Diceros bicornis minor: one gene and its partners. The protein of the gene in region 2 interacts with the protein of the main gene of each other region in a biochemical or structural test. Links are inferred from orthologs where the notes say so. Each region holds a gene or a part of one and is shown on either strand. Other genes may lie near its edges.

The links.
Region 1: the proteins of MDC1 (region 2) and CDC27 form a complex in vitro, tested with the Homo sapiens proteins (2 studies listed by BioGRID). The link is inferred for Diceros bicornis minor from reciprocal best matches to the Homo sapiens genes MDC1 and CDC27.
Region 3: the proteins of MDC1 (region 2) and TOPBP1 are reported together in a solved structure, tested with the Homo sapiens proteins (3 studies listed by BioGRID, with this or other methods). The link is inferred for Diceros bicornis minor from reciprocal best matches to the Homo sapiens genes MDC1 and TOPBP1.

The regions. Positions count from the first base shown.
Region 1 is NC_080757.1:44,865,208-44,872,220, forward strand, and holds the start of CDC27 (cell division cycle protein 27 homolog), read right to left. Parts: upstream 3,022-7,013; 5' UTR 2,912-3,021; coding exon 2,885-2,911; exon of another isoform or gene 2,573-2,884; intron 1-2,572. UniProt on the Homo sapiens protein: Component of the anaphase promoting complex/cyclosome (APC/C), a cell cycle-regulated E3 ubiquitin ligase that controls progression through mitosis and the G1 phase of the cell cycle.
Region 2 is NC_080753.1:34,401,524-34,408,536, reverse strand, and holds the start of MDC1 (mediator of DNA damage checkpoint protein 1), read right to left. Parts: upstream 3,024-7,013; 5' UTR 2,608-3,023; coding exon 2,605-2,607; intron 873-2,604; coding exon 734-872; intron 1-733. Other genes in the region: TUBB (tubulin beta chain), read left to right, coding at 5,734-5,790. UniProt on the Homo sapiens protein: Histone reader protein required for checkpoint-mediated cell cycle arrest in response to DNA damage within both the S phase and G2/M phases of the cell cycle.
Region 3 is NC_080741.1:18,706,735-18,714,214, forward strand, and holds the start of TOPBP1 (DNA topoisomerase 2-binding protein 1), read left to right. Parts: upstream 1-4,459; 5' UTR 4,460-4,549; intron 4,550-5,168; 5' UTR 5,169-5,175; coding exon 5,176-5,259; intron 5,260-7,226; coding exon 7,227-7,361; intron 7,362-7,480. UniProt on the Homo sapiens protein: Scaffold protein that acts as a key protein-protein adapter in DNA replication and DNA repair. Composed of multiple BRCT domains, which specifically recognize and bind phosphorylated proteins, bringing proteins together into functional combinations.

The DNA of each region.
Region 1 (7,013 bases), on a different chromosome or scaffold from region 2:
ATCTAATGACCTCTAAAATGATATTATGGGCCGGCTCCGTGGCTTAGCAGTTAAGTGTGCGCGCTCCGCTACTGGTGGCCCGGGGTTCGGATCCCGGGCACACACCGACGCACTGCTTCTCCGGCCATGCTGAGGCCGCGTCCCACATGCAGCAACTAGAAGGATGTGCAGCTGTGACATAGAACTATCTACTGGGGCTTTGGGGGGAAAAAAATAAATAAATAAATCTTTAAAAAAATATATGATTATTAATAAATAAATAAATAAATAAATAAATAAATAAATAAATAAAATGATATTATGTGAATAGTAACCACTTACCACACTGCTCATTATGGTGATTTTTATAAGGCTTGTTTACAACTTCATCCAACACTTCTAACTGTGAAGTCCTACCCCAGGAATAATTGATAAATCTATCAAAATATCACTGGTTTTTTAATCAGTTTCATCAGGTGAATTTTATAAACCTCCAAATTAGCACTGATTGAAGTCATTTAGGGTAGTGTGTCCTCTCCAAACAGTTATATTAAAAATAAAATAATCGACAGAATTTCTGCCTCATAATAGGAGAGATTTTTGAAATGACTCAAATATTAACTAACACTTTTCTATGAGAGATAATTTGGAGGAGGAGCTTATTCTTACCTTATCTCAGACTGGCTATTCCACACTAAAACGTTAAAGAAAATAAAAAGGCAGAGATCAGTTGCTCATTTTTTCTCTCAACTTTTTCCTATGCCTAGTAATACCATGAACCATGAGGCATCCCAAGAAAGAAAACAACTTTCCAACTTACTCTCATCCCTTTACAAATACATGCAATCACTTATTATAGTTAAAAAGAAAAACATATACAGTATCTTTATCTGTCCTAGTTTTCTTTTCTTTTTGTTTGGTCAGGGAAATTGGCCATCAGCTAACATCTGTGCCCATCTTCCTCTATTTCATATATGCGACGCCGCCACAGTATGGCTTGATGAGCGGTGCATAGGTCTGCAGCAGGGATCCGAACCTGCGAACCTCAGGCCACCAAAGCAGAGCGCCTGAACATAACCACTACGCCACAGGGCTAGTCCCCTATTTTTATTTTCTTCCTCACTAATTCTTTCCCATTTTCAGCACTATCTCTGGTCAGTTGATCTTTATCATCCTAGCCAAAATTGCTTGTTCTTCCCTCTGCTCCAGATCTCTTATTTCTTCTTATACTACCTCGTATCTTAAAACTTCTTACCACTGTTCCCAAATCTAATGGATAAAGGTAGTGTGAAAAAAAAAGATAAATTTGACATTTGAGCCTTAAAAATGCCTAAGTGCATTACTGCTAAGAGTACTTTAAGGAAAAGAGGAAACCTGGCAGGCACTATCTAGGAATAGGCTATGTATTTCTTTTCTTCTCCAAGCTCCTATACAAGTTGAAATTATTATTAAATAGTGGTTATAAGCTAGCAATGAAACTAGTTTATCATTTTAGAAGTCTTTTGGGGCCAAAGAAGGCAAACGTATCATTAATTATTAAGACAGAATTACAAGAATATGAAACAGAAATTAAACAACTTGAGTGATCTGCTTATCTATGTAAGAAGGTACAGACAGCAACTTCTAATTTCATGTTAAGCCTCAAAAAAAAAAAATCTTCAGAGACTCTTTACTAGTAAGAGGAATTTGGATGGAAAGAAATAGCTTTGGAAGCACTGGTACAACTTACAAACAGGTAAATTTCCTAAAATAGAATCCCACATTACATTAAATCAAACACTAATAGCTGCTACATGTAAAAAGCCGGGGAAGCAGCCAACTAGCAGAAACTGGTATTTCATCCTGTGAAGAAAAATTAAGGAAATATGGAAGAAGTGATGTACTAAAATATTTACTATTTGATATCACAGGCCTATTAAGGGTATATGAAATAATTTCTAAAATCAGTTTGCTTTATAACTTCAAAATAGAGAAAATCCATGAGTCAATGACAGCAGTTGACAGAGCTCAACTCTTCTAATCAAGTTCAAGATCCTAGGGTGGGTTGACAGTCTCCCAGACTTGGTTCATCACCAAGGGACAAAAGATTCAGTTTCTTCAGACGACAAGGGGAAAAATGACTTGGCACTGCCTCACACACTTCCTGGTGTGGTGAGGACAGTGAAGTGGATGGTAAAACCACTATTTGTCTTTCATTTCCTGAACGCCTTACAAACATGCACAATAAAACACTCCTGATCCCCACCACAGGTCATGGAAAAACCCAGATTTGCCGTTTCCACCCCCTCCCCTTGGATAGGTGCTTGCACCTCAGCACTGGGCCTTGGAGTTCTCTTCTCAGATCATTGTCCAGTGGGAAATTCACTGAGCGAGAAAAGCAACGTGGGCTTGCAAGTCTGTTACCAAAATAGAAATTAGTATTAAAAATACCGATCTACCCTCCCTCCGCCCTCTCACATAAAACAAAAACAAAACCAACCCCCTCCACCCCGCCAACTTGCCCCACCGTTATGAAGCCCGTACAAGCTCTGATCAAATGTGCTTCCCCACCATCCTTTAGGCACGAGAGCACCTGGGGCGAGTTTTCGGCCCCTCATCCCTCACCCCGGCCGGGGCCGGGCCCCTAGACTGACAGGAGGGCCCAGGTGGACGTTGGCTCGGAGGGGAAAGAAGCTATTATCGCCGAACCCCGCTCACACGAGGGGTAGAAGGGACGTAGGACCAGAGGTAACACGGCGTAGGCTACGGGCAAGGCCTCCGGACTGACGAGAGGATAGGCAGGACCCGGCATGGGGGGAGGCGGGAGAGGCAGCCGGGCCTAGGCCGCACCAGGCCGCGGAGTGGCCATACGCTGCTTCCCGACCGAGGCTGCGAGCCAAGCCTCAGAGAACGGGGTTCTCATTACCTGGACGGGTTCCTGCAGCACCGTCATCCTTGAGGCTCAGGCCCACTTTCTGCAGTGCCTCAGGCCCCCCCCGTAGCGGCTCGGCCCGGCCAGCCCCGGCTCATTTAAACTCACCAGCGACCGTTACCGGGGAATGGGGGAGGCCGAGAGACTGCCGAGTACCTCCGAGCGGGACACGGAAATACCCGAAGGGGAGAGATCCGCGCGGGCGCCAGACGGAAAAGCCCGAAGGAGGCCGGAAACACCCGAGGTGGGTCGACGGAGGAGGAGACCGTTGCCGGAAATTGTCGAGGATTACCGGAGACTACCGAGTCCTGTCCAGAGCGTAGGTTTCTTTTCTCGGCCCGCCTTCACTCACGCACGCCACGCCCAATAGGCCACCCTAGGCTGGGCCACGCCCAATCGGCTACCAGCAGGCTGGGCGTGGCGTGCCGGAGCGGGTGGGGAGCGTTACGTGGCTGTGCTGCCGTCTTGATTTCTGCTCAGCTTTTCTTGATTAATTGGTGCGCGGTAGATTAAGCAAAGGGTAAAACATGAGAGTTTGGGGCTGACTTTAATTAATCAAGAAGTATTTGTCTGTTGAGCTTAGGTCATTCATCCATTCCAGAAGTACCTATTCATGCCTCAAAGGGATATAGGAAATTTGGAAGGATTGCCACCCTCCAAAAATTTATTTGGTATTTGTCCTTAAAGAGATTACGGTCGATTTAAGGGAAAAGCAATGTAACTAAGAGTGCTATATTATGTGGTGCCCACTATAAGTGATGTAAAAATTCAGAGGGGAAGAAAATTAGTTGGGATTAAGATGAGGAAAGAAAAAGGGACACAAACTGGGCTTTGAAGGATGGGTAGAATTAGAAAAGAAAGGAGAGGGTAAGTGAAGGAAAGCAGAAATGAGATCAGTCTGATAAGAGTTAAGGTGTTAACTGGAAATAATTAGTTAGATGACCAGATCATGGAAAATCTCGGAAGGCAGGCAGAAATTTTTATAGGAGAGGCTTTGTGGTGTATTGAGAAATTCAGAGGCTTGATTTTGAATTTTCTCTCTTGCACTAACTAGTTTTAGATCCTTAGGCAAGTCACAACCTCTCTGAACTTCTATTTCCCTAGTATGAAAAAAGTGATGAAGAGAATTAAATGCATTAACCCTTGTGGTTGTGTCTAACACACATAGTAGGCTCTTTCAAATTTCTTTCCTGCTCCCTCTCCCCCAAAAATATGTGAACCAGGGAGCTATTAAAATTTTGTTTTTCTGTAGATGGGGAAAACAGTTTTGAAGGTTAATTTTCTGATCAGGACATCTCTAGGCTAGACGTTGGGTGTATATTCCATTGTGTGGCAATTTCCCTTTCTCATTCTCACATTTTATGCAGATAAAATCAGTTTGGAATGGGTCACTCCCTTCCTTTGGATGATGTGGAGGGAGGTCTTTTTTTTTTTTTTTTTTTTAATGCTAGTTGACAGAGCTACTATATTCTTCACCACCAGTCATCTCTAGTTACTGCTTATGCACTTGTAGCCCCATAAAGCGTAGGTGCTAAGGTGATTCTCTGCTGCCCTGTTCTTTTAGCAGAATTATGCTGGATGAATTGGAGTGGGAATAGTCTTCTACAATGACTGATATGGTAGCCACTGACTGTTTAAAGTTTAGTTAAAATCAAGTGAAATTAAAAATGAAGTTCTGGGGGTCGGCCTGGTGGTGTAGTGGTTAAGTTTGCGCACTCTGCTTTGGCGGCCTGGGGTTCATGGGTTTGGATCCCTGGCATGGACCTACACACTGCTCATCAAGCCACACTGTGGCAGTGTCCCACATACAAAATAGAGGAAGATGGGCACAGATGTTAGCTCAGGGACAATCTTCCTCAAGCAAAAAGAGGAAGATTGGCAACAGATGTTAGCTCAGGGCCAATCTTCCTCACCAAAAAAAAAAAAAAGTGAAGTTCTTCAGGAGCCCTGTCCATTCCAAAGACTCAGTAGACATATGTAGCTAATGACTTCCATAATGGATAGCACAGATACAGAATATTACCATCATTGGCTTTACTGGGGATGGAAGATCCAAGACGGCTTCACTCAGATGTTTTGGGCCTTGGTGCTACCTATTGGCTGAGCCCCTCGGTTCTCCTCCACGTGACCTCTCTCTCAGCCTTGGCCTCTCATCAATCGGTAGTCTAGCCCCAGCTTCTTGACTTGGTGGCTGGCAACCAAGCAGGCCAACACAAAAGCTGTGAGGTCCCTTAAGGCCTAGGCCTATAAGTCAAACTCCATCACTTCTTGTTGGTTCAAGTCAGATACAATGCCAGCTTGGATTCAGTGGGAGGAGAAATAGACTCCACCTCTAGATGGGAGGCTAGCAAAGTGATGCTGCACAAGGCATGTGCTGATGGGAAGGAGTGACTGCTGGGAAACTACCGGGTATGAGATGAGAGAATTTGGTAGTGGGAATGGGAAGAAAGCGATGGGTAAGAGATATTACTCTTAAAATTTGATGCTTTTAATTGAACACAACACTCCAGATTTATTCTAATTAATTCAGAATGCAGTAGGACTACTGCTTTTATTATCTGAGCACTTCTATTAAGTACACTAAAGTTTTACTTGCATTTTTTAGCAGTCACATGACACTGTTTGCTCATGCTAAGCTTGTGGTCTGCCGACCCAAGTCTTATATTTGCACAATGGATTCTTGTAAACTTAAATGTAGGAATTTACAACACGGGATACACAGAGATGATATTTTTTGTATGGAAATGTGTATCTGGAGTCAGCATTTAAAGAGTCTGTGGTGCTTGACATCTGACTTGTAAGCTTGGAATTTGCCTAAAGCCTTTTTTTTTTACCTGCTGAAAAAAGGCATCTCTTTTCTGACTGTTGTTCGCTGGGCTGATACATCTGTTGTGATTTTCTGCTCCTCCGCAGCAAGGCCACATTGTTTGAAGTTGTGCTTTAATGGGATCTTTTAGAGCATTTTTACTTCCTTCTCTGTTCCTGATTGACATACTTAAGCTCAACTCACCATCCAACAACCACTTGGGTACCCTGCTGTCATTCATTATCCACATATGTTTAGCTGGCGAGTGGAGTTAGGTTAGAGTAAGCATTATTCCAAACATGGTAAATTATCTCTTCTCCTTAGCCTGCCTCTTGTTCTGTTTCATGTTCAGTCAGATTTGGAGGCCAGCATTAGGGAACTACTCAAGAAGCTAGACATGGTATCAGTGCCCAGATGCAGGTCCCACTGAAACATAGCCCAGGAGAAGCTTACTCTTCTGAATTCCTTCAGTCCTCCTTGTCTGTATCCTTCTTTTGTCCCTGTTGCATGCTGCCTTTTATTCTTCTTTTGTTACTTGACCTTGAGACTTTTTTTCTCCTCTTTTTTTTTTTTGGTTCTCCGTCTTGGTCAAATCATCCCCTTCCTTTGGCTTCTCTGATCACACGGTCTCCTGGTTTTCCTCCTACTGCTCTGTTCTTTATCAGTTTCCTTTGCAGCCCCTCTAATGTTAGAACGCTTCAGGGATCTGTTGTAGGTCTTCTTCTGATCCTACACATTCTTCCCAGGAACACCCTTCCATTCTTGTGGCCTCAGTTTTTCATCCACAAATTGTTCCAAAATCTGTTTCTGCAGCCAGACTGCTTCTTAGAACTCCAGACCCAAGTGCCTAGCTGTGAACTGGATGTCTCTATCTGCGTGTCTCACAGGTGCTTTGTTCAGAATGGAGCTCCTCATTCCTCATACTTGAAATATTTCCTGTCCAAGTTTAAGGCATTGTCATCTTCTCCATTGCCCAACCAGAAACCACTCTCTTTCTTTAACATCTAGTCACAAAGCCCTACTAAGTTTACCTCCTAAATATACCTTCATGTCTCTTCTTGCCTCTAGTCTTACCTACCTCCAAAAGCAAGTCCGATCATGTGAGGACTCCTCTGCCTAAATATGCCCCCTCAACTCAGGATTTCCCACCGTTCTTAGGATATAGTCCAAACCCTTTAACTTGCCTTACAAGACCCTCTAAGGTCTAGTCCCTGCCTCCTTGTTTAGCCTTCTGTCATCTATCTCCCTCTTATACTCTACATTCCAGCAAAAGGGATCAGAATATGTCACTTTGGCATAAGGATTATTTTGAGCTGA
Region 2 (7,013 bases):
GTACCCCACTACTCACACAAGGTCCCCACATGCATTAGACAAATAAAAGGCCCCAGGACATCTAGATATTGAAGAATATATGTAACATATTATTCATAGTCAATACCTCATCCTCCACACGGGATTTTTTTCTATTGTGATAAAATATACATAAGGTTTACCATTTTAACCATTTCTTTTTTTTTTTTTTTTTTGTGAGGAAGATCAGCCCTGAGCTAACATCCATGCCAATCCTCCTGTTTTTGCTGAGGAAGACTGGCCCTGGGCTAACATCTGTGCCTATCTTCCTCCACTTTACATGGGACGCCGCCACAGCATGGCCTGACAAGCGGTGCAATGGTGCGCGCCCGGGATCCAAACCCGGGCAGCCAGCAGCTGAGCCTGCGCACTTAACCGCTACGCCACGGGGCTGGCCCTAACCATTTCTAAGTGTACAGTTCAGTGGCATTAAGTATATTCACATTGTTGTGCAACCATCACTACCATCCATTTCCAGACCACACTGGATTTTTATTTGAATCTCTTAATTTTCTAGCAAAGTAAAATCACCTCCGGTGAGTCCAGGGCACTTGCCTGGAGCAATTAACTCAATCAGCCCCCTGTTCTCCATTGCCAGTAAAAGAATTTTTTCACATCTCCTTGAAACATATATAAGCCTCCTGCAAACCTCCTACTACTTCCTTACAAAAATAAGAGGCCTATACCAGTACTTCAGCATCCAATACCCTCTGACCTTTTTCTGGTCCATAGGCACTACTGAAGATATGCAGTCGCCCTACGGGCGCCAAGTTACACCCCAAGGATTCACTGGGTCTCTCTGTCTCCTCCTCTTCTTCAGCCTCCCAGTCAATAGCCTGAGTGTCCTCCATAATCTGGGAAGGAAACACATCATCATCTCTATTATTGGTTCACACACACAGCCTCAGAGAGAAGACTGATAACCGGGGTAAACCTGGATAGTTATGGAGGTTCATGCTTCTCTTTCCGCCGATCATTCCGTGGTTATCTTTCTGAAGCATTTAAAAAATATTTTTGACCACGATACAGAATAAGAAATAAATATCATAAGGTCCCAAATATATACAAACACACGTGCTTATTTATACAGACAAATGTTTTGAGAAAAACTGCCTAGCCTTACTATATACAACACACTGATAGCTTCATTCTATTTTTTTCTGTTCTCTATTTTTAATTTTTTTAATTTTTTGTTTTTTGTGTGTGAGGAAGATCAGCCCTGAGCTAACATCCATGCCAATCCTCCTGTTTTTGCTGAGGAAGACTGGCCCTGGGCTAACATCTGTGCCTATCTTCCTCCACTTTATATGGGACGCCGCCACAGCATGGCCTGACAAGCGGTGCGTTGGTGTGTGCCTGAGATCCGAACCTGGGCCGCCAGAAGCAGAGCCAGCACACTTACCTGCTACGCCACGGGGCCAGCCCTATTCTCTATTTTTCAAATGCTGATTTGCAACCCACTAAATTGATTTCACTATCCACTATTGGGTTGCAACCCATAGTTTGAAATACACCATTTTAAAGGGAGCTAACTTTTGCCAAGCATCAACTATCTGTCAGGCATGGTGTTACGTGTCAGGCATGGTAATGATATGAGGCAGGCATTTAGGAATCTAAGGCTAAAATATTAAGTAATTTGCTGCAGATAACAGCAGGTAAGTGGAAAGGACAGGAATAAAGGTGCTTCTGGCTGCAAAGCCCATGCTTTTTACCCTTTACCAGACCATCTCAGTGTGATCAGACTAACTGCAAAGAATCATAATAGCTGACATATATAGATGCTTGCTACGTGTCAAGCACTGTTCTAGTTACTTTGCATGGACTGACTCATTTAATCATCACAAGAACCCTACAAAGTGTTATTATTAACTTCTATTTCTCAGATAAAGAAACTGCAACATAGATGGGTTAAGGAAAATGCCCAAGATCACCCACATGTCCCTCCCCTGTTTAATACATACACATATTTTTTTGGTGAGGAAGATTGGCCCTGAGCTAACATCTGTTGCCAATCTTTCTCTTCATGCTTGAGGAAGATGGTCCCTGAGCTAACATCTGTGCCAATCTTCCTCTATTTTATTTGTGGGACGCCTGCCACAGCATGGCTTGATGAGCAGTGCGTATGTCCGCACCCGGGATCCGAACCCACAAACCCAGGGCCACCGAAGTAGAGCACCTTAACCACTATGCTACCGGGCCAGCCCCTGTTTAATATTCTTTGATGGCTTTCCATGCCCACAGGATAACATAAAATCTAAACTCCTTAGCAAGACCCTCTATGATCTGAACTTCATGTCCTGCAATGTATGCCTCCCCTCAAGCCTATGGTTCAACCACATGAATCTTCTCCCTACTCTCTGAACACACTGTTCCTGTTGTCCCCCACATCTGCATGCCTTATCCAGCTCCTTGGCCCTTTGCTCCTAGTTTTCTGGTCTAACTCCTACCCATCTTTTACAATTCAGTTCAAATGTCACTTCCTTAGCAAAGCCCTTCCTGGAGTCTTGCCTGCTTTCTGGTGTTCCTGGTGTATCGTACGTGTTCCACAATGGTGAAAGGACTTGAAACTATCCTAACACTTCTCACCATATTGTAACCGTTACTTTCCCTTTCTGCCTTCACACATCCCTTCGAGAACTGGACCAGCAGAAGTGTCTTTTCCCCTGGGGTCCATCATATTCCTTCAAGAGTAGTCATTGTGCACCTGGTACCGTTCGAAGTATTCAGGATATATTCATGAACGAAACATAAAATTCACCCTGCCCTCCTGATGAAAGAACAAATGAAAGATGAAAACTCAAAATAGCAGGGACGGAACTCACTTAGCAAGATGCCACCCTAGAGGGAAACTGTTGACAGGAAGGGAAAGTGGGACGCCTCCTTGGAGATAGTACCAACTCCGTCATTAAGACTGGCGAACTCAGCGGGTGCCCATGACCCTTGGCTCCAATCCAATGGGCCACCATCTTTGATCCCCATCCCAGTGGGTTCCCTCCTGGCCTAACGTCTCCCTGTGTCTTCATACCTAAACTCGGGGAGGGGCGTCAAGTAAAGATGAATATTATAATCCGAGAAGCAAACTTCCAAATCTCCTCCGCCCAGTCGCACCCAAGGCACGCCCCTCCCGCCCTCCAGGAGAACCAAGATGGCACCCGGGGAGCTGTGGGCAAGGCCCCCCAGAACTCACCTACTTTGAGTCCCCGCGCGCGCCACCAGTAACGGCCGCGGGCCGGTGGCGCGACTGCTCGCGCCCGGAGGGAGCCGATTCTCTGATTGGCTCCCGCCGCTGTCTTTCACAGTCCTGCGGCAGGCCGATTGATCAAATATCCAACGCGGACGCACATCCATAGCCCCGCCCCCATCCCCGCCCAGCCCCCTCACCGCTCAAAGGGGCGGCTTCTCTCAGGGGCTTGAGATCCGTTGTGCGAGGCGGTAAGCAGAGGCCGCCCTCCGCGCTCAGAATCGCGCACTCCGATTGGGCAGTTGCGAGGGACAACCCACTACCGCCTCACCACCCACCGCCCACTTCCCGCGCAGATTTCCAAACCGCGACCACAGAGTCTGGTTGCCGGCGCGGATAGAGGGACTTACCATAGTCGTCGCCCGATGCGTCTAGTGCGGCCAGAGCGCCCTTCCTCAGTCCTCCCAGACATGGTGTCCGCTGACTCATGAGAAGTGAAAACGGGTTGCGGGTTGCAGTCGTGGCCGGAGGCTGCAGTTTGGAGAACTGCCCGTAGGCGTGGCGCTTGAGGACTCCTCATTGCAATGGAAGTTCATTTCTTTTTGATTTGGCTTGTTTAGTAGAAGTCATGTCATTTCCTCCTTGAGAATACATCCCTGATAGACATTTTGAGGTCATTTTCCTAAAGCAAAGATCCCTAGGCGAACAGAAAGAACTATTTTGCTAACCATCTTAAAGGCTGACCGAGGTCTTTCAAGGGGTTAAAGAAGAATGATAAAACCATTTATTTCATCATCTCATACTAAGACAGAAGAGGATAGTAACAATTTGACATGTGTATGATTTAGGAAGTCCTTTTGCATTTTATCTCACTTCAGCCTGACCACAGCAATCAAATAGGCAGAAGTAGATTTTACAGAGGGAATTGAAGCTCTGCGAAGGTGAATGACTTGCTTAGGTTCCTACAGCTAATGTAAGGTAGAGAAATTGAAACGTCCGCTCATTCTAAATTCTGAACTCTCTCCACTGCCACAAAATAACTACTTTCATTGTGACCATGCCCTAAAACATAAAACATTTTATTTTGAGTGGGTAGAGGGGTCTTACACAACTTGATATTCTTTTATTTAGGTGACTGAGAAATGTGTGTTGAATCCAATGTGAATTATCAGTGATGACCTTGATATCACATGTCCTGTATTATGGTATTACCACACTCCATTGTTTATACACTTCTCACGAAACTGCAAGATCCTGGTAGGCCAGGGAGAGAATTTTTAATCGTTTTTGTATCCCTAGCTCCTGGTTTGGTGGACACTTAGTATCTATCAAATGAATTAATGCCTGAGAAGAAACATGCGGCTCTGACTTGAGCCCGTCCAATTTTCTCCCATCCATCTCCCTCCCTATCCCCCTTTTGTTCAATCCTGGGGTTCTTGAAAGGTTGCAGTGGCCAGCCAGCTGGTCAGTGAAATCAGCGAACTGAAAAAGGCTGGAAAGACACTGAAATTCTATCAGGCATCCCACCCCATAGTTCTGTTTGACAAGACCACAGTGTCTTCAACGCTGCTCTAAGGCCCAGATCCCCTACACGGAAGGAAACTTCTGGCTTCACAGATCCCAGATATCAGCTTCTCTAAACTATTCAACTTATTCTCTGAACGTAACCTCCGGACAATTACATCTCTATCCTGAAAAGCCCCTGTTGCAATTTTGTTTCTCTTTCAAAATATTATCATTAGAAAACTCCCAAAGAAATAGGAGGGCAATCCCCTCCTTCTTCCTGAGTATCTGGGGGAGCGGCGGCTTACTGGAGTTCATGCCTTGGGTCACCAAAGGACCAGCTGTTAGATAGCAGAGCAGGGTGCCGCATTTCTCCCCAGTTTTCGCTGAGCTAAGCAGTCCTGTCTTCCCAAGAGCTACCGCCGCGGGGAGCTTTCAGGGCGTGCCCACTCCTTCCAACGCCTGGCACTCCAGGGGTCCCAAATCCTGTATCCCCGAAAACGACGCTCTTTTTGTACAAAAAACTCAGGCATAGAGGAAAGAAATCGTACGCAAGGTCATTTTTTCATAAAATACAAAAAAAGTCCAAAACCAAAAACCCGGTACCCACCCATTCGTCCCTTCATTTTGCAGCGTGGACAACAATAGAGGACTACAACTCCCAGAGCTGACTGCGTTCGTCCACTCGCGCAGAGACCAATGGACGTCTGATACATGACCAGCATCGACTAATCAGGGCCAGCCTCGATGAAGCTTTGTCTCCCCACCGCGGCGCGGAGCGCGTTCTCCCGCCTTCCCACCCCGGCGCAAGCGCGCCCCGCCCTGCCAGCCTTCCCTCCTGCGCCCTCCCCTCTCCTTTCTCCCTCTCAGAACCTTCCTGCCGCCGCGTTCGGACCTCGCTGCTCCAGCCTCCGGGGCACGTCCCATCCTTCCAGCCTGCGGCCAGCAGCAGAGAAAAAAAACCCCACATATCGTTTTCTTGCCCCGTACACACCTTGAGGCGAGGAAAAGAATTAAAATAAATTTTAAACATGAGGGAAATCGTGCACATCCAGGCCGGTCAATGTGGCAACCAGATCGGTGCCAAGGTAAGGATTTTAAACCTCTTTTAACTATATTTCTTTTTCCGAAGGAAAAAACCCGGACAAATGATAAAGAGTGGTTGTAGGACATTTGCACTCTTCATCTTTAGCCAAGCTTTGCCAAAAAAAGTTTTATATATATAATACCCATTTGTTGCTAGAATTTGCTCTTAAGAAAATGGGGAATGATTTTTTTTTGGCAGGCTCATTTTGGGGAAGCCATTAAAAGCACCCTTCAGATTTAGGGGGCGGGAAGACCGAGGTTCTGCAAGCTTTTACTTAAAGAGGATCTCCTAACGGTCTGAAGACTGGGGAGGGAGGGACATGCGGAAACAGTCCGAGACAAAGCGAGGCGAGGTTTTCCCCGGGTGCATCTCCCTTGGCGGGGCTTTATGTGGCTAAGCCGGAGGAGGAAGGGACGAGGCTGGGCGGGCAGCTGCAGAGAGCTGGGATCCCAAGGTGGGGGACGCGGTGGGCCACTGGGTTGCACTACGCGTTACCATTCACAAAAGATCGGGGCTCTCCGCGCGCCCGCGATCCCCGAGGGGCGGTCCGGTAGTTTTTCGTGGATGGAAGGCTAACATGTGCTTGATTAATTTTACTTTCTTTGATTTCCCCTTAAAAGAGACCCTTTTAGGGAGTGAACAGATGAGAAAGAGGGCGGGAGAAAAGGAGGGGGTCGTTTTCTTTAAAGGGTCCCTTACGACTAAAGGATGGGAGAAAGGAAGGTGATCCTCATTTAAAGCAAGGGGGGAAAAGCGAAGGAATAAAATTCGAGGCCAAGGGGGGATTTTTTTTTTCTTTTGCGCGCGGTTACAGTGTAGCGGGGGAGGGGCGGGAGGAAGTGCGGCTGCTACGTTGTAGCAGAAGGGCGGGGCCCGGGCGCCCCTTGGCGCGCCGGGACAATGCGGCCCTGAGGGCCGGCCGGGGGCGCGCGAGCCCGAGCCGAGCCCCGCCCCTGGCGCGCGGAATTCGCGCCTCGGCCCCGCCCACGCTCGGCGCCTCTTTGTTGGCTGCTCGGCGTGCGCGTGCGCCGCAGTCACGTGGCGGGGGGCGGGAGGTGGTCGACTGCTGCAGCGGCTCCTTTCTGCGTCTCCCTGGCTCTTTGTGCGCTGCGTGGAGGGGCGGTGCCCAGCGTGGGGGGGGGCGGGGAGGGGCTCTTATCCAGTCTACTCTGCCGCCTCCATCCTCTCACCCCGGTTCCTGCTATCCCCGGGCACGCCCAGCCG
Region 3 (7,480 bases), on a different chromosome or scaffold from region 2:
TGGGGAAACTATGTGAGCCAGGGTAGAATATCCCTCCAAGGGGCTTGCAAACAAGAGTCTTTGTACACCAACTCCTGTCAGTCACTGAGGGTTTTTTCCATGGGTCATAAGTCCTCTTGCCCTTTGGTCTACTGTGTAGGTGGCAAAGCAGACTCCTGGTGTCAGAAAATGCCTTCATGCAAAGAAACACAGGTGCTGGCAGTTGGAAGTTTCCTAACGTGTTTAAGAGTGGGAAGGTAGAGGGGATATGTGTGGGAAACTAAGGGTCTGCTACACGGTCTCTACCAGAATCCACCTTATGGTCCAGTGACATATGGACTAAAAACACAGGCTGCTGCCCACCCCTACTCCTGCCCAACTGCACACCTGATATACAATGGCGGCACAAGGACAGAATAACTACAATAAAACCCTTTCAGAAAGGAGAGGAGGGGAGACCCATAGCCATTGCTCGTCAGTACAAACCCTGAAGTCCTACTGGGCAGGCATCGGGTGGCTCCTCTGCCTGATTAGATTCAGATTCTGTTCTCTGAAAGTAGCTCCATTGCTCATTGCTCTCCGAGGTCCCTGGCACCTCTCTCTAGGAGGTTCTTCCTTTTCCATTATCCTCTGTCTCCATGTCTAGACAGGGTATGGAGGAGTCTGTTCTCCTTGGGGGCTGTATGACATTTCACCCACTTCTGACTATGCAAGCTTGAAGATTGTATCAAAGTTTGAACACTCCAGACTTCTGGTTTCTTTCATAGAGCAATTGTCTCAAAACTCCAGTAACCTTCAGATCTATTCGCTTCCAGTCAGTTTCATGTGGTAGTCGTCAACCTCTCACATATAAGACAAGGTCAAGGGCAAGGCCTGACTGATTAGACTGGTGAAGATACATGAGACACTTTTAGATTTAGATCGCTTGTTACTTCTATAGATAGCAAAAAGGAAGAAGAAGCCAAAGGTGCCAGCTCCCAGGGTCCTTGTCCCAGATACCAAAAAAGATGACACTGAAACAAAACAGGCTGTTGTGGGAAGCCCCATTGCTGAGGAGCCAAAACTAGACAGCAGCTAAGTGGTTTCATATTCTGCAGCTCTATTCTGAGGGGAGTGGTGCAGAAAGCCCGATACCTCATCAGAATCTGGGAGGCGATGAGAAACTGATGACAGCCTCCGAGGGGAGGCAGGAAGATGAGTGGGAGGTGGCCTCATAGCTAGCATCTCCTTAAAGGACCCCACTCTCTTGTGTTCCAATAGGATCACAAGGTGTTTGACTGAGGCTCAGACATGCTGCAATTCCAACCTCTGCCTACACGGATATGTGCAAGGCTGCCAGGAAGCCATGGCAGAGCTGTTCCCCTACGGTAGTAGCCACACACACAGTTCTCTCCTAGACTAATTTTCAAGACTAATTTGCTATCCTTGGCCCCATCCCTCTCTCTCTCTCAATTGATGGTGCCTACCCAGCTTGGGTGGGAGGGCCATATTCTTAACTAGATCTTTTCTACATGGATGGGTTGTAATAGACATTTGTTGCTCAAAATCTCTCTCAGACTGATCTGTTGTTTTTAGGGTCTAGATGCAGCCAGCTTTTCTAACCTTGCAAAATGCCATATTTTTGGATTTTTAAATTCCCTTTTATCTTTCGCTTGCAAACAAGCTCATTCTTCCCTGAGCTAGGCTTTCTTATAATACTGAATTAAACGCAGCCAGTAGCAACCAATATGTGCCACTTACATTCTATTTTGCCTCCTCTTCCCTGCACCTCAGAAGACTCAGTATGCCTATGTTCTATCTTCCAGGTTACTGAAGATGACAGTTTAAACAAATGTTTTGCACTGCAAAGACTATTTCTGCAGCAATAAAGATCATTTACTAATTTCATTTTTAAACTATACATCCCTTTATACATATTTATTCATTTACAGCTCTGGAAACTTAAATATAAAATCCTCAAAAATCTATTTTTAGTTTAGTTTTTAATTTTGATAAGTCTTCTCTATGTAGCAAAATATAACAGAAATAAATACTTATATTACCACCACCCATATTTTAAAAGTAACTATTTTGTGATATTTGTTTCCTGTGTTTTTTCATTCTACAAACAGATAAAGTTCCTTTTAATCCTACTCCAAGCAGGGTCTGGAGTGTTTGGTTCCAGGTGGCAGAAGTGCCAAATATTCAGGGAGGTGATCCTAAATGCCAGAGAGGTGAGGGGAAAGTTAATCCCTGAACCCCATTTTCTGAGCAGCTTCTTGACAGCACATCACAGTTATTCCTCATTTTTACCAAAATCTTCATGGACCACAACCCACGTAACCACTCTCACCCTTTCCTAAAGGACTGCGGGTCAAGTAAACCTTAATGTGCAGGAGAATCAGTTAGAGGGCTTGTTAAAACACAGGGCAGTGGCGCCACCCTCAGAGTTTCCGACTCAGTAGATCTGGGATGGGGCCCAAGAACTTTCATTTCTAACAAGTTCTCAGGTGATGCTGATGCAGCTGGTCCAGGCACTACACTGGATGGAGAACCACTGTTCTAGCTAATGCCCAAGATTAGGTACTTCGGGGACAGACACAGACTCTCTCTGCCTATGTGGAGACACAGATGGGAGAACCTGTCACCTGGTCTCCCATTCTAAAGATGAGGTCGACTCCTCTGCTATTCAAATCCAGCTGCTAAAAGCTATACGGTTGTGGGGCCGGCCCCGTGGCGTAGTGGTTAAGTGCGCACGCTCCACTGCTGGCGGCCCGGGTTCGGATCCCGGGTGTGCACCGATGCACCGCTTGTAAGGCCATGCTGTGGCGACGTCCCATATAAAGTAGAGGAAGATGGGCACGGATGTTAGCCCAGGGCCAGTCTTCCTCAGCAAAAAGAGGAGGATTGGCATGGATGTTAGATCAGGGCTGATCTTCCTCAACAACAACAAAAAAAGCTAAAGGTTGATTTCATCATCCTCCTCCTCTTCATTAGCAGCATCTCTGACTCTCCTACTCTCAAGAGACCTCTCCTCAGCCCCAGAAATGTCAGGAATGGGCTCCTGCCCCAGTGCTGACCGAGCAGAGATGGGCAGGAGCAGGTAACAAGGAGCAGTGTGGTGTCAGGAAGGGCACGGGGTTCCAGTCACGCCGCCTCTTGTCACTTCCCGGCTATGTGGCCCTGGGCAAGTCACACAGTCCCTGAGCCTACTTTCCCCATCTGCATAGCACGGGACAGTGATGCCCACATACTAGAGAGTGCTGAGTAAACGGGAATAGTGCAAGCAGGAGTCCTTTGTCAACTGTAAAGCACCCTACAAATAGTAGTTACTATTACAGCTTCACGATAAATTCGCTCCTTTACAATTAACTGTGGCATCGTCTTGTTTTTTTTACAACTTTATTTCTAAGCCTTTCCTCACCTTCTCCCCAACAACAGGCCTTTCGAGTTCCAGAGTTACTGATCTGACTCACCTTCCACGGGTGTACTCACACACTTAGACCCAAGCTGCTCATTGCCATCTGTAGGAACTAGAAAGAAAAATAAAAACAATCGAGGTACATCGCCTTAAGCTCTCACATCACTCAATCCAGAGTCATGCGCTTCTCAATCTCAAGAGTCAAAAATAAAATGAGAAGAAACACTAACTAAGCAGTTTGTCATCGGTCATCAACAAGCAAAAACTGCAGTCCCCTTTTACCTCCTCTCCCCCGATCTCTGCTATTTGAACATTAGGTTCCATCCCAGAATCTCCCCAACACTCAGGGGGAGCTACAGGGAAAGAAAATGAGAAGCTCATTGAAAGAGGCGGCATCTTGGTAAGGACCCCTTTGCACTAGGTGTGTAATTCAAGTCACCCTGACTTCTTTCTTCCCTTCAGGCCTCTTGGCTGTGGCAGCTGGTGATTATACTCCTGCTATATTGGAGGAGAAAGAACCCAGTCCGTGGAGTCAAAAAGAGGTGGATGCCATCTTAATTCTACCACTTACTGTGTGACCTGGGACACATCATTTGACTTCTCTAAGCCTCCGCTTTTACATCGGTAAAACGCTGTTTGCCTCATAGAGTTGCTCTGGATGATAACACATGGTCTCGCGCACTGCCTGGCATTCGGCAGGTGTAATAACTGAGGAAACCCTCTTCTCCCCCGGCTTTCTTTTTCCCTGCGTTGGGACCTCCTCTAAGGTACTCCTGGCCCGCGGCCCCGCCCCCTGAGCCGTGGGGCCTGGACCAATGCCCAGCGGAGCCCGGCCCGCCCTTCAACGCCCTGAGCCCCAGAGAACGCGGCCCAAGCCCCGGAGCAGCCCTCCGCCGGCTGGCACGGCACTCGCCGCCCTCACCACCTTTGCCATCCCCGGCCTCCTCCCGCAGCGGCGGTGGCGTCACTTCCGTCGGAAGAGGCGGGCACGTCCGCGCGTTGGCGCGAAAGTCGGTTCCCGGCCTCGGCTATTTCCGGGTTCTGCGCTTGCCTCGGGCCGCGGTCGCCGCCGGGGGCGGGGGTGCGCCGGGGGCGCGCCCGACCCCAGACGCCGTCCGGCGGGCCGCACTCCCGCCACCCGCCGCCCGAAGACCCCCAGGCTGCGGCGAGGTCAGTGCGGCCCGGAGCGGGACCCAGCTCCCTGCCACCACAATTGGGGGGCGCGACCCCTCCTCTGGCCCTCGGGGCACTGGTAACCGGCCCTCCGACCGGCGGGTGGGACTCGGGCGCCGGAGGGTTGTGGCTGCGGCTGGACCGAGAGCCAGGCCTCTCCCTGGGAGCTGGGGAGCCGGAGCGGCGGGCCTTTTAGGGGGCATGACCTTGCTAAGTGGCTTCCATGTTTATATTAATGTCCGTTTACCGAGGGTGGACAGGCTTCGAGGGCCGGGGAGACCCACAGGGACAGATTCGTTGTGTGTATCCTTAAGCCAAGTGCAATTGAATGTCCTTTGGCTTGGGGGCTTAGAGCCCCATAGCAAAGGCCCTCAGTGTATTCAATTTAGAGACATTAATTTCGTTCTCTGATTTGCAAAGATTGGTGTTTTCATCTTTTTCCTTGACTTTGCCCACGTTCCTGCGTTTCTTACAAACGTGGTGGACGAGTTCCTGTGCAAGGCCAGAATGTCTATCCTTAGGCATTCTTGTTTGCACAGAAGAATAGGTGCTTTAAACATGTCACTTCATATCTAATGTGTTGTCGTTCTTGTTAATGGCTCCTTTATTTTGACAGTTCAAAAATGTCCAGAAATGACAAAGAACCGTTTTTCGTGAAGTTTTTAAAGTCTTCAGACAATTCTGAATATTTTTTTAAAGCTCTTGAGGTAAGAATAGTTGGGAATGTCTTGTTTGATGCTGTGAATTCATCTTTTTTTTAGTGTTTTTTATTTATTGGGCTTTTTATTCTTAGTTTATTTTTATAATAGTTTTACTGTAGTCTACATTATTATAGCTACGTCATTGTTAACATATTTTTGAATTGATGTTAGTATATCATTATTATGTATTTTGGGGGACTTGAAATCTATTATGACATTTCTGTTGAAAGTGGCACGCCTGCTGTTCTTAAAAATTAAGTTGCTTTCTTTTGTCTACTACCCAGAGTAGACCTTCGTGTGTTGAAAAAATTTAAGTCAGTCATGTACTGGTTACACTTCATTTTCTGGTTGTTAAAAGTATGTTTCATTTTTTACAGTGTAATATGGAAGGCTGTAGGGTAGTGTAGAGCCTTGCTACTCACAGGCCTCAGCAGCATCCGCATGGCCTGAGAGTTTGTTAGAAATGCAGAATCTGGGGCCCCACCTCAGACTTAGCAATTTGAATCTGCATTTTGACAAGATCCTCAGTGTGATCCTCGGTGTACATTAAAGTTTAGGAAGTACTGTTGTAGCAGGTATTTCTTTAAAGTTCATTCATTCAGCAAGTAATTATTGAATGTCCGTGATCTGATAAGCGCTGTTCTAGTGCTTGGGATACATCAGTGATCAGAGCAGGCAAAGATCCATACTTTCTCAGAGCTTATGTTCTGTTCTAGCAAGAGGAAATAGACATTAATCAGACACGATAAATGAGTAGACTATATAGTATGTTACAAGGTGCTAAGTACTATGGGAAGAGAAAAGAGCAGAACAGGTTAAGGGGTTCTGGAGGATGTTTGTGGGGGCAGAAGGAAAAGGGAGAGAGTAATTTTAAATAGAGTGTGATCTGGATAGCGTTTATGGAGAAGATGATATTTGAGTACACTTGAAGGAGGTGAGATAGTTAGCCATGTGGATATCTAGGGAAGAAGGTTTCAGGCAGAGGGAACAACCATACACAAGCCCCTGGGAAAGTGCTTGGAGAGTCTGTCTGACGTAGTGTGGCTGTAGTGTAGTGAGCAACGGATGGGAGGAGAATATTAAGGGATGCTTCAAAGTATAAGAGTAAAGAGGCCATGTAGTCCATTGTAAGGACTTGGGCTTTTTCTTTCAGTGAGATGGAGAGCCACTGGAGGGTTTTAATCAGAGGGGTTACATGATCTGACTTAATTGTTTTAAAAAGATCATTCTAATTATTTAACATAAGGACTTCAAAATTTGTTCAGAAAACAGGTGCTTACTGAGTGCCAGGATGTGGTGGCAAACCCGCTAGACCATGAAACTGTCACTCTTATAAGTGAGAAAGGCAAACACTATTTACATAATATCAATGTTATTTTTCTTCATAAAATAGACTAGAGGGATAGGGAAAGGGTATTTCAGAAGGCATAATCAGGAAAGGCATCTCTGAGGAGGTGACATTTGAGCAGATCTGATTGAAATGAGGGACTAAGTCAGGGGAAGACCTGGGAGAGGAGTATTCCAGGCAGCAGGAGCAAGAGCAAAGCCTCTACCTGAGGTCATGCTTAGCTTGTTCCAGGCCTAGAAGAGAAGCAGGAGTGGCTAGAGAAGACTAAGCAAGAGGGATGAGCGAGTGACAGACGGTCAGGGTGGGGAGATAGGCAGGGCCCAGACTCTGTGGTCTGTAGGCCGTTGTCGGAATGTGGATTTCATTGAGTGTGGTGGGAAGCTATTGGAAGTTTTTGAGCAGAGAGTGACGTGACCTGATTACTAGCTGCTGTGTGGAAAACAGATTTAGGGCCAGGGAGAGAGAGGGAACCACTTCGGAGACGTCTGCAGAGGTCTAGGTGAGAGATGATGATAGCTTTCATAGGGAAAAGGCTGGATTTGAGATGGCGTTTGATGATAGAATTCGTAGAACTTAAATACAGGTGAATAATTTCAGGTGCATTCTTATTTCATTTTTCTTTCAGTCAATAAAAGAGTTCCAATCAGAAGAATATCTTCAGATTATTACAGAAGAAGAAGCATTGAAGATAAAGGAGAATGATCGATCACTTTATATCTGTGACCCTTTTAGTGGCATTGTCTTTGATCACCTCAAAAAGGTTTGCTAACTTTTAGTGTTTTCCTTCGGCAATCTGTTTTTTGGTTTGTTTTTGCTTCAGTGGATGTAAGTTCTTTACTGATCATGAAATATTACACATATTATGCATCCAGAGGAATC